Linked DNA regions of Oryza sativa Japonica Group. Each later gene encodes a partner of the first gene's protein in a complex. Links are inferred from orthologs where the notes say so. Each region holds a gene or a part of one and is shown in the gene's direction. Other genes may lie near its edges.

Region 1 (4,738 bases):
TTCTACCATGATCTTTTTTCATGCAACAAGGTAATCGATGCATTATGTTAATAAAAATGTAACCAATGAATGCTGTTTATTCCATACGCATGCAGGCCGTACTTATTGTTCACATTCCTGTGCGGCTAAGGAATTTCAATATCAAAGAGTCTTCTAGTTTTGGTAATGACAATCAACTCTTATTTTTTACAAATGTGTTTGCTCTCTGTACTCACATGTTATGGCAGTTATGATTCGAAACTAATGGATAGTGTTTCTTGATCTGAATCAGCCAAGAAGTCAGACAAGGGAGTAAATCTTATTGCTTCCCTATGTGAAAAATACCATACATCAGAAGATGAGTTGAGTAAAGCAATCGAGAAGACAAATACTCTCATAGTGGATATTCTGAAGAAGAAACCATGTCCAGCTGCTTCAGAATGTCAGCAGGATAGGTTGTCTTTTATTGATCCAGGTATGAATGTGATCTTCAAACACAATTATTTCCATAGTCGAGGTTTGTGTTTCAGGAACTTGTTGCCATCCATCTCAACTTCCTTGCTTCTTGTTGTTTGATGCAGAGGGCTTGACATATTTTAAGAATTTGCTCGAGGAAGACTCATTGAAATTAAGTTTGCTAATGCTGGAAAAGGAATATGAGAATGCAATTAACACCAAGGGAGAATTAGATGAGCGCATGTTCGCAAACGATGAGGACAGCTTGCTTGGCAGTGGAAGTCTGTCAGGAGGTGCCATCAATTTACCAGGCACAAAGGTAATTAGTGTTAAGCCTACACATGTTCATTCAACTTAAAACCCCAAATCTTATGTTTTAACTTTACCTGTGGGTATTGCAGAGAAAGTACGATGTTATGGCCTCACCTGCAAAATCAATAACAAGTCCAAGTCCGATGTCTCCTCCACGGTTTTGTGCATCCCCTACTGGAAATGGCTACTGCAGCTCAAAAATGGCTCCTATCACCCCAGTGAGCACAGCCATGACAACAGCCAAGTGGCTTCGGAGCACAATCTCTCCCCTTCCTTCAAAACCTTCCGGGGAGTTACTGCGCTTCTTCTCAGCTTGTGATAAGGATGTGACAGATGACATTACACGCAGAGCTGGTATTATACTTGGAGCCATATTCACAAGCAGTTCTTTCGGCGAACGTATATGTACCAGCGTGCGAAGCACAAACAGGATTGATGCTATCTGGACAGAGCAAAGAAAAATGGAAGCACTTAAGCTATATTACAGGGTTCTGGAATCAATGTGCAGAGCAGAGACTCAGATCTTGAGTGGGAACAATCTTACATCGCTTCTGTCTAATGAGCGATTCCATCGGTGTATGATTGCTTGTTCTGCTGAGTTAGTGCTGGCCACTCACAAGACAGTCACAATGATGTTCCCAGCTGTGTTAGAGAAAACTGGCATAACAGCTTTTGACTTGAGCAAAGTCATAGAGAGTTTTGTTAGGCATGAGGATACACTTCCACGAGAGCTGAAACGTCATTTGAATTCACTTGAGGAACGGCTCCTGGAAAGCATGGCATGGGAGAAAGGCTCATCAATGTACAATTCTCTGATTGTTGCCAGGCCAACACTATCTGCAGAAATAAACAGGCTAGGTTTATTGGCTGAACCAATGCCATCACTTGATGCCATTGCGGCGCACCATAACATTTCACTCGAGGGGCTGCCACCTCTTCCCTTTCAAAAGCAAGAACATTCACCAGGTAGCCCACTGGCATGCTACCTCATGTTTCATTGCCTTTGACTTTAAAATATATGAAAGAATGGTTGAACTTACAAATTTTGGTATTTCTTGTAGACAAGGATGAAGTTAGATCTCCCAAAAGAGCATGCACTGAAAGGAGGAATGTGCTGGTGGACAACAATTCATTTAGATCACCAGTCAAGGATACCCTCAAATCAAAGTTGCCTCCTCTCCAATCAGCATTTTTAAGGTTTACATCCCTTCCTGATTCCTCTTTAAAGTCATTAGCTGGTTGCTCAATTGTCTTTTTTTTTTTTGCATGTTCTTGATTTCAGTCCAACAAGACCTAATCCTGCAGCAGGGGGAGAATTATGCGCAGAGACAGGAATAGGTGTATTTTTGAGCAAGGTGAGTGTCTGACCATACTTTTTGTTCAAAAATAAGTGTCTGACCATAATTTATGTTCAAAAATAAGTGTCTGACCTTAAAGTGCCTTAATATGCACTAAAATTCTTACTGATCGCACTGCAATGTTTTTGTCCTGCGCAGATAGCAAAGCTTGCAGCTATTAGAATCAGAGGTCTTTGTGAAAGGCTGCAACTTTCTCAGCAAGTCTTGGAGCGAGTGTACTCCCTTGTGCAACAAATCATTATCCAACAAACTGCTCTATTTTTCAATCGGCACATCGATCAGATTATACTATGCAGCATATATGGAGTTGCTAAGGTCTGTCTAGAAATTACTCCCCTTGCAACAAAGAAAGATTTCGCTTGTTATGATTGCTAGTATATCTATCAATTGCTGTTTTTCCAGATATCTCAGTTAGCACTCAGTTTTGTTTATTGGTCCATGTGTGCAGATATCTCAATTGGCACTGACATTCAAGGAAATTATTTTCGGCTACAGAAAACAATCTCAGTGCAAGCCACAAGTTTTCCGTAGTGTTTATGTTCATTGGGCATCACGAAGCCGCAATGGGGTAACTGCACTTTCTTTTCAGTGTTTCAAGAATTTTTTATGTTTAAATCGCAATTATTCTGAAAGTGTGTTTACTCTTATGGCATCAGAAAACAGGGGAGGACCATGTTGACATTATCACTTTCTACAACGAAGTATTTATTCCTACTGTGAAACCTTTGCTGGTTGAGCTAGGGTCTGGTACTAGTCCAAACAAGAAGAATGAGGAAAAATGTGCTGCTGATGGTATGCTAATGTACTTGAAACAAGTTTGATCATTGTACTGCTAGAATTTAAAGGCTTTTCTGAAAGTGCTTGCCATATTAGCAGGTCCATATCCAGAATCTCCTCGGCTATCTCGGTTTCCAAACCTTCCTGACATGTCTCCCAAGAAAGTTTCTGCTGCTCATAACGTATATGTTTCACCCTTGCGCACATCAAAGGTACGCCTCAAGAAATAAACTGATCTCCCTTGTGAAGTTTAATGTTGCATTTATAATGACCACCTGAATTTTAACTATAATGGTAGTCCTTGATCAATGTTGTGACATTGCAATAACTGAATGTTTCAGATGGATACTTTGCTTTCCCCAAGCTCCAAGAGCTATTACGCCTGTGTAGGGGAGAGTACTCATGCATTTCAGAGCCCCTCCAAGGACCTTAAGGTTATAAACAACCGCCTAAACAGGTAAAACTAGAAAGAAGCTGGAAAAGAAGTCTTTTTATCCTTATTTCACTAGTGAGAGGAAAACTTTGTCTAAACTATTCTCAATTTGTGCAGTGGGAAGAAAGTCAGTGGAAGACTGAACTTTGATGTTGTCAGTGATTTGGTTGTTGCCAGAAGTCTCAGCGATCAAAATAGCGCATCAGCAGCAGCAACAACAGCAGATATCGCCACAAAAACACCAGTGAAATTGGAGCAGCCAGACTGCTAGTTGTTTCAGTTATACCACATCACCTGTCCAATACAACCTACTGACGGAAATGCTAATCTGTTAGGTGTCAGCTGATCTAATAGTTAGATGTTCAGAAGCTCCATTTTCTCTGTTTATGTTTCCTGACATGGGGAAATTTCCTCAGTGAGCAGCTCTTGTCTTCTGTCACATATAAAAGAGCTGCCCTGAGACCCCCTAATTAACCTGCCTCACTTTACTTCTGCTTTTTCTCTTTGAAGAGTTGATACTACAGTCATGTAATGTAGTAGCAAGTTTAACAGCTTTTGTAAATGAAATTTGGCTCTTGTCAAGCCGGCTTAGTTGTGAATTTTTCTTGCTGGTTTCTTTCGGTTCTGTCATTATGTGTTACTTTTATTGTTACATGTCAGCATCTTTGCAGTATTCAATCTGCATATTGCAGCAGGACGTAATTTTTTTTTCATGGGATGAGCTTTTACAGGTCGTTCCAAATCAGATTGTACGACTATTAAGCTGTGGTTGTTTGCTAAGTCAAAACCAAGAAAATTATGCAGCATTGTTAATTCGTCCTTGTATTTTTCATTGCCTTGTCTTGCAAGAACGCTGATACTGTGCCAGCACTATATATATTCCCATCAACTTGTTTGGACTTGATGTTGATGGCATTAGGAATAGTTCGTTAGCAGATAATTGACACAATTAAATTAAATAATCGTCTTAGATCAACGCACAAAGCATCCTAGTTGTCCCTTTCCTGCATTGTTCTGGTCATAATCTGTCACTGTCTGGATGACACAAGGCATACAAGAATGAGAAGAAATCTAGGACGACAACTGGTTGCAACACGTACGATGATGTCTATCTGAAAGTTTTTTTTTTATTATTTTATTATATTTTTAAGGAGGCGTACTATGAAAGCTACAGAATCATTTCAAATAAAAAAATGCTACAGAATCATACTACCCAATGATCGAGTTTGGTGGCTAATGTACATTTTAATAGTGTGTATGTGGATTTTGATGTTAAATTTCATTGGTCTGCAAGAGCTCAAGTATATAGATCATGTTACATGCATACATAAGCCAGTATATAACTATTCATTCCATTACCTAAAAACCATATACATAAATACTGTATACACCAGTATATAACAGTACAACAGTACAAGAGATT
Region 2 (5,386 bases), on another chromosome or scaffold:
CTTTACTGGGTTCGGCGATATTAGAATCTCCAAATTCCGCTTGCAAGATTGTGTTTTCGAGGAGAGAAGTTTTTCGGTAGAGCTTTGGAAAATTCCATAGGTCACATATTTCGTCCGTTTGAGTTTATTTTTTATATGGTTGGTTCTTGTGTGCTCTTAAGCGTGAAAAAAATATCAAAGAAATAAAATAAAAATAAAAAAGTTGCACATCTCTCTCCGCACTAGTTCGGAGAGAGATGAGAAGAAAGGAAAAAATTTACATGTCACATATTCCGTCCATTTGAGTTCATTTTTTCTATGGTTGGTTCTTGTGTGTTCCTAAGCGTGAAAAAAATATCAAAAAAATAAAAGAAAAATAAAAAAATTCTGAGGGGGGCGCCAGCCACTCTGGCGCCGCCCCCCCCCCCACCTCAGCATCGCCTCGCCACGTCGGCGGGGGGACGGCGCCAGAGAGGCTAAGGACCATTTGTGGGATAAGTTTTTTTAGGGGTCTATTTGCGAAATAAGTTCTTCAAAAGGACCAAAATGTGAAAAATCCAGTCGTCTCATGCCGTCTCCCGTGGATTGATACCATGACATGTGGGCCAGTGCGTTCGGGCCCCACCCCATGAGACGACACGTCAGGTGGGGAAAAAGGATGCGCGCGTCCGTGCTTGCTTGCAAGGCAGTGACACGTGGGCCCTCGTCTCGGCTGGTGGGCCCGCACCGTCAGCGTGTGGTGAACGGCTTTGCTTGATTCCCTTCGCTTGATTCCCTTCTCTCTTCCCGCTTCCCCCAACTAGAGTCGAGAGCAGGCGCTGCTTACCTACGTGAACCCTGCCTACGTGGACCGCTGACCGCCGTACAGCGTGGGGCCCACGGGTCAGAAGCGGACGTCCACCGTGCACCGATGCGGCAAACGTGCATAGGATCCGTTTCCGCGCGCTCCCCGCCTCGCTCTAGAGCGTGTGCGTGTGCGTGTGCGTGTGCGTGTGGGCTTTTTCTGTTTCTTTCATCCATCCATGGTTTTCATAATTACACCAACTCACCCCACTGATTTTATATATAATCTTACTTCTTGCTTCATTGGCTAATCAAAGTACTCTGTCTTCACTTTTACCATGAGCTAAGAATTTCTTTTTGTTCTGTTGGCATTTTCTAATTGCCATTTCTCTATACAAATGGATATATGATACGTTCTGTTAAATACATGTGTTAATAAATTTGTGGGAATTTAATCAAAAGATAAGCCATGGTTTAATTTCGTCAATATTAGATATATTCTTAACATTTTATATTCGTTTTTCAAGTAGTATGTGTGAAACACAATGTAAGATAGTGTTTCATGTAATCATATTTAGATGATGAGGGGATTGTATTTTATTATGTATCATTGCCCTACACATACTTCCTCAAGTGACATTGTCTAAATTTTCCCAAAATTACACATGTCCGTAGCTGTTGACTTGTGTAATTGATTCTAACTCGAATTTAGACTTGTTTTAATATATTGACGCCACAACGATAGTAGATATCTACATGGGGCTTGTTCCGTAGAACTAGCCGTTGAAGTGATGTAGCTGTTCGGCTAGACTGCGTTGCACATCTCAAAAGTTGCAAGTTGACATATCGAACATGGCAATGAGCTATGCCTTGCAACATACTTTGGCTAATGGTTGGCACTGTAATAGCGAGATATTTGATCTACAACATATTAGGCAAATAGAACTGTCCGAAAACAAGAAAAGTGGTGCGTTTTCATTGCAATTTTTTTTACCGTTGCAATACCCAACTAGAGTTAGACGTTGGCTCCTACTTCCTACGTTGTCTCTCTAACCAAATAAAGTAGGTAATTCTGTGAGCAATAAACGTAAATACTTGCAACAAATACGCGATGCGTAGCTGGCTTACTATGTTTGCTTAAGAAACAGATAATCACGCACCCCAACTCTACAAAACCAACACTGACCTGTGGACCCCCATACCCCCATATTAAGCGAGATCGACACGATCGGCCGCTGACTCATGAGCCCTACCACGGATAAGACCAGCGGCAACGTCTATCACAACAGGTACATTCAGATGTGAACATATTCCCGTATATACACGATAATCCTCAAACAAATACATACCAAAACTATCACGAGGTAAACTCGATAAATACCCCATGGATCCCAATGAATAAACCACACAAGCAAGAAGAAAGAGGGTGAAGGAGCAAGAAAGAGAGTTAGAGAGAGAGAGAGAAAAAAAAAAGAAAACGAGAGAGATAGAGAGAGAAGGAGAAGTTGTTGAGTTGTTTTCCCTCTCTCGTCCCCTTCCCTCCCTCCCCTCCTCTTCTCTCTTCCCCCCCTCTTTTCCCTCCTCTTCTTCGTCTCCAAGCGGCGCGCGCTCTCTCGCTTCCTCGCCGCCGTCTCGGACTCGGACTCGGGCGAGCGGCGCGGCGAAACCCTACCTCGCGCTCTCCTTCCATGGACGGATCCGCCGCCATCCCGCCCCGCCCCGCGCCGACCCCGCCCGCGCCCGCGCCCGCGCCGCCGCAGGTCTTCCTCCGCCGCTCCGTGCTCCCGCCGCCGCCGGCCCCGCACCACGCGCCTCCGCCCCCCGGAGCTCACGTCCACTACTTCCGCGCCGCCTCTCCCATCCCCATCTTCCGCGCCGCGGCCTCCTCTAGGCCCCCGAGGCCGCCCCCGCCGTCAACTACTACTGCTCCTCCTCCTCCCGCCGCCCCCGCGGTCACGCCTGCTCGCCCGCCTCCGCAGCAGCCTGCGGTCGCCGTGGCGGCGCCGCCTCCGGCTACGACTATGGCTACAGCTACCGAAGAGGTGGCTGCGCCCGCGACGGGGAATCCGATGGCCAACGCGGCGGTGAGTCAATGGAATGTCCCCCCCGAGTTAATCCGTCTACTCCTTGCCATTACTGTTTCAATCGATTGATGCTTGTATTAAGCTTTATTCTAGTGTTTGGTTGCATGATTCGATCATTCAATTTTGGATGTTATGGATTGGTAGATGTGTTCGGGGATGTTAATTTGGTTGGGACAACTTTAGGTTGGCACGAAGATGGCTTTAGTAGAAATTTTGGCATGCACGGCCGAATCGATTGAGCTCTGCCTGCTTCAAATCTTCCTTTGCGCAATGGTACTCTATTTAGTCTCAGTTTCAGGACCAATGGCAACAATGTAATGTTGCAGTCGACATCTGTAACCTGTAAGATCGATACGTGTAAATATGGTTTGGAAAAGACTGTGTTAGATTAAGTTCTGTCAGGTGCTTCTCATGTTCAAACTAATCTGCACTGTCCACTGCAGGCAACAAACTAATCTGCATCTGCAGTTGCTTTTATGTAAAGCTTACCAGGTTCTTCTACTTAGATCAGCTCTTTGGAACATGTTTGGTAGGAGTATGTATAAGCAAGTGATTTTTATGATGTGCTAGAATTTGGTTTGATAGCATATAATGTTTGGAGTAGATGGTTTCGACCTTTGGTACCTGGCCTTAGGAGTTAGGAGGTTGTCCTGGTACTAGGAGCTTATAGTACAAGTCAATCCCTACCTTTTGGTTGGAGAAATCTTGCAACTATGGTTCGTATTATGTTGGAATGAGGGTTTTATACTTGTAGTATTTGCATATTCTCTTTCACTCTTTTGAGGAGACCATTTTTCAGGCTCATGGATGTTATACTTGATCTTCATAATGGAGCGTAGCATTCCAAGATAGTTGCTGGATCAGTTACATTATGTTTGATAATTGACAATGTTGTGTTGTGAATGGTGCATATGTTTTAGGACAATGAGGAGAAAAATGAAAGAGAAACTGTACAGTCTGAAGTCGCCAAAGGAGAGACTGTGCAAGGGCCTGATAAAGAATGTACAACTGGGGCAGTAAAAGGCATCAAACGGCCTAGAAAACCAAAAGGTTTTAAAAAAGGTAGTCTTCGATCAAATGAAGGTGCGGTCCTGCTTATATTCTATCCACTTTACATAATGTGCATTGCTCTGATAATTTCATTGTAAAAGTTTCATACCAGCATTTGATTATCATCTGTTGTTCATTCTAATTTTCTTTTCAGGAGATGCTGGGCCTTCTTTATTTTCACCAAACAACTGTCGCTATGACAGCTCGCTAGGTAAAGTATGATGCATTTTTCCCAATGAAAAAAAATGCTTCATGTTTCTTATTAATTGTTACCCTTTTGCCAGGTCTTCTTACAAAGAAGTTCATCAACCTTCTTGAAGGAGCAGAAGATGGAACCCTTGATTTAAATAAAGCGGCTGAGACATTGGAGGTCTGGTTTAGTATTATCATTGAAAAAAATGCTTTCCACGCTTGTCAGACATTCAATCTTTTTAATTGTCTAAGAGTGAAGTGCCCTGATGTACCATATTTTAATAAATTTCTGTAGGTGCAAAAGAGGAGGATATATGATATAACAAATGTTTTAGAAGGTGTAGATTTAATCGAAAAGACACTGAAGAATATGATTCGTTGGAAGTAAGTGTAATTTGTTTATGTTTCTTAATGCATTCCACAAGTTAATTTTAGGTTTTTACTGACAAAATAAATACATTCAAAGGGGTTTTGATATGTCAAAGCCTAAGGAGAGAGAACGACAAATCTCAGCATTGAAGGTATGTACCGTTGTACTTTATGCTCTTCATTCTGTACATATTTTATGCTTTTAACTATCCTAAAGCTACACATAAGTAAATTATACACACATCATTATGAGTTCCATTCTTTTTCTTTAATCTTTATAGATAGAGGTAGATTGTTCTCATTTTACTTCTATTGTTTTTCAAGTCAGAAAGTGGACTAATTTAAATTGAACCATGAACTATCAGTAGGTTATGTGTTTGTACTAGAAATGGTGCCCTTCTTTTATTACATTAAGCTACTTCATGTATCACAACTGGGCATTAGGGCAGGCCTCTCCTGTATCGTTTCACTCAACTATTGGAGCATATGCCTAGGTATTAAAAGACTACTGTACTCATCCTTGTAACAAGGTGGTTGTATCATTTTACTACATGAAGACAGAATCAGTGATACATATTATCCCAATTGAACTAAATTGAACCAAGATAAAAATTATTTTGCTGCTTTTGAACCAATTATACTTTGGCTAACTTTTATTTTTCAATGACGTTAAGTAAAATAATATTGGTAACAGCTGTTGGAATTGAACTCGATCACCATGACTGTTACGGTACCATTTTATGTACCATCCAAGGAAACTATGGTTTATGTTTCCTGGTAATTTCTGATGCCATATCTGTATGAGTGCAGATTGTAGGATAAATTGACCATAACCAGTATTTTAATGGTAGAAAAATGTTTCCACAGTGGTTGGCTAGAGCGAAGTTTTAGTGGATCTGGCATGCTGGGGTATGCCTGTAAAAATAAAA

What was found. The genes of interacting proteins can lie anywhere in the genome.
Region 2: retinoblastoma-related protein 1 (region 1) and transcription factor E2FC share a complex: the UniProt entries of both Arabidopsis thaliana proteins name them as parts of the DREAM-like complex. The link is inferred for Oryza sativa Japonica Group from reciprocal best matches to the Arabidopsis thaliana genes RBR1 and ATE2F2.

What each region holds. Positions count from the first base shown.
Region 1 is NC_089042.1:27,067,986-27,072,723, reverse strand, and holds the end of retinoblastoma-related protein 1, read left to right. Parts: intron 1-95; coding exon 96-162; intron 163-271; coding exon 272-454; intron 455-560; coding exon 561-754; intron 755-836; coding exon 837-1,713; intron 1,714-1,808; coding exon 1,809-1,944; intron 1,945-2,029; coding exon 2,030-2,102; intron 2,103-2,243; coding exon 2,244-2,420; intron 2,421-2,553; coding exon 2,554-2,673; intron 2,674-2,761; coding exon 2,762-2,897; intron 2,898-2,978; coding exon of another isoform or gene 2,979-2,981; coding exon 2,982-3,094; intron 3,095-3,223; coding exon 3,224-3,339; intron 3,340-3,432; coding exon 3,433-3,586; 3' UTR 3,587-3,931; downstream 3,932-4,738. UniProt on the Arabidopsis thaliana protein: Key regulator of entry into cell division. Acts as a transcription repressor of E2F target genes, whose activity is required for progress from the G1 to the S phase of the cell cycle.
Region 2 is NC_089038.1:712,484-717,869, reverse strand, and holds the start of transcription factor E2FC, read left to right. Parts: upstream 1-2,310; 5' UTR 2,311-2,450; coding exon 2,451-2,846; intron 2,847-3,766; coding exon 3,767-3,929; intron 3,930-4,050; coding exon 4,051-4,107; intron 4,108-4,180; coding exon 4,181-4,266; intron 4,267-4,383; coding exon 4,384-4,472; intron 4,473-4,554; coding exon 4,555-4,609; intron 4,610-5,386. UniProt on the Arabidopsis thaliana protein: Involved in transcriptional repression. May act by repressing E2F-regulated genes in mature differentiated cells, but is not an antagonist of E2FA.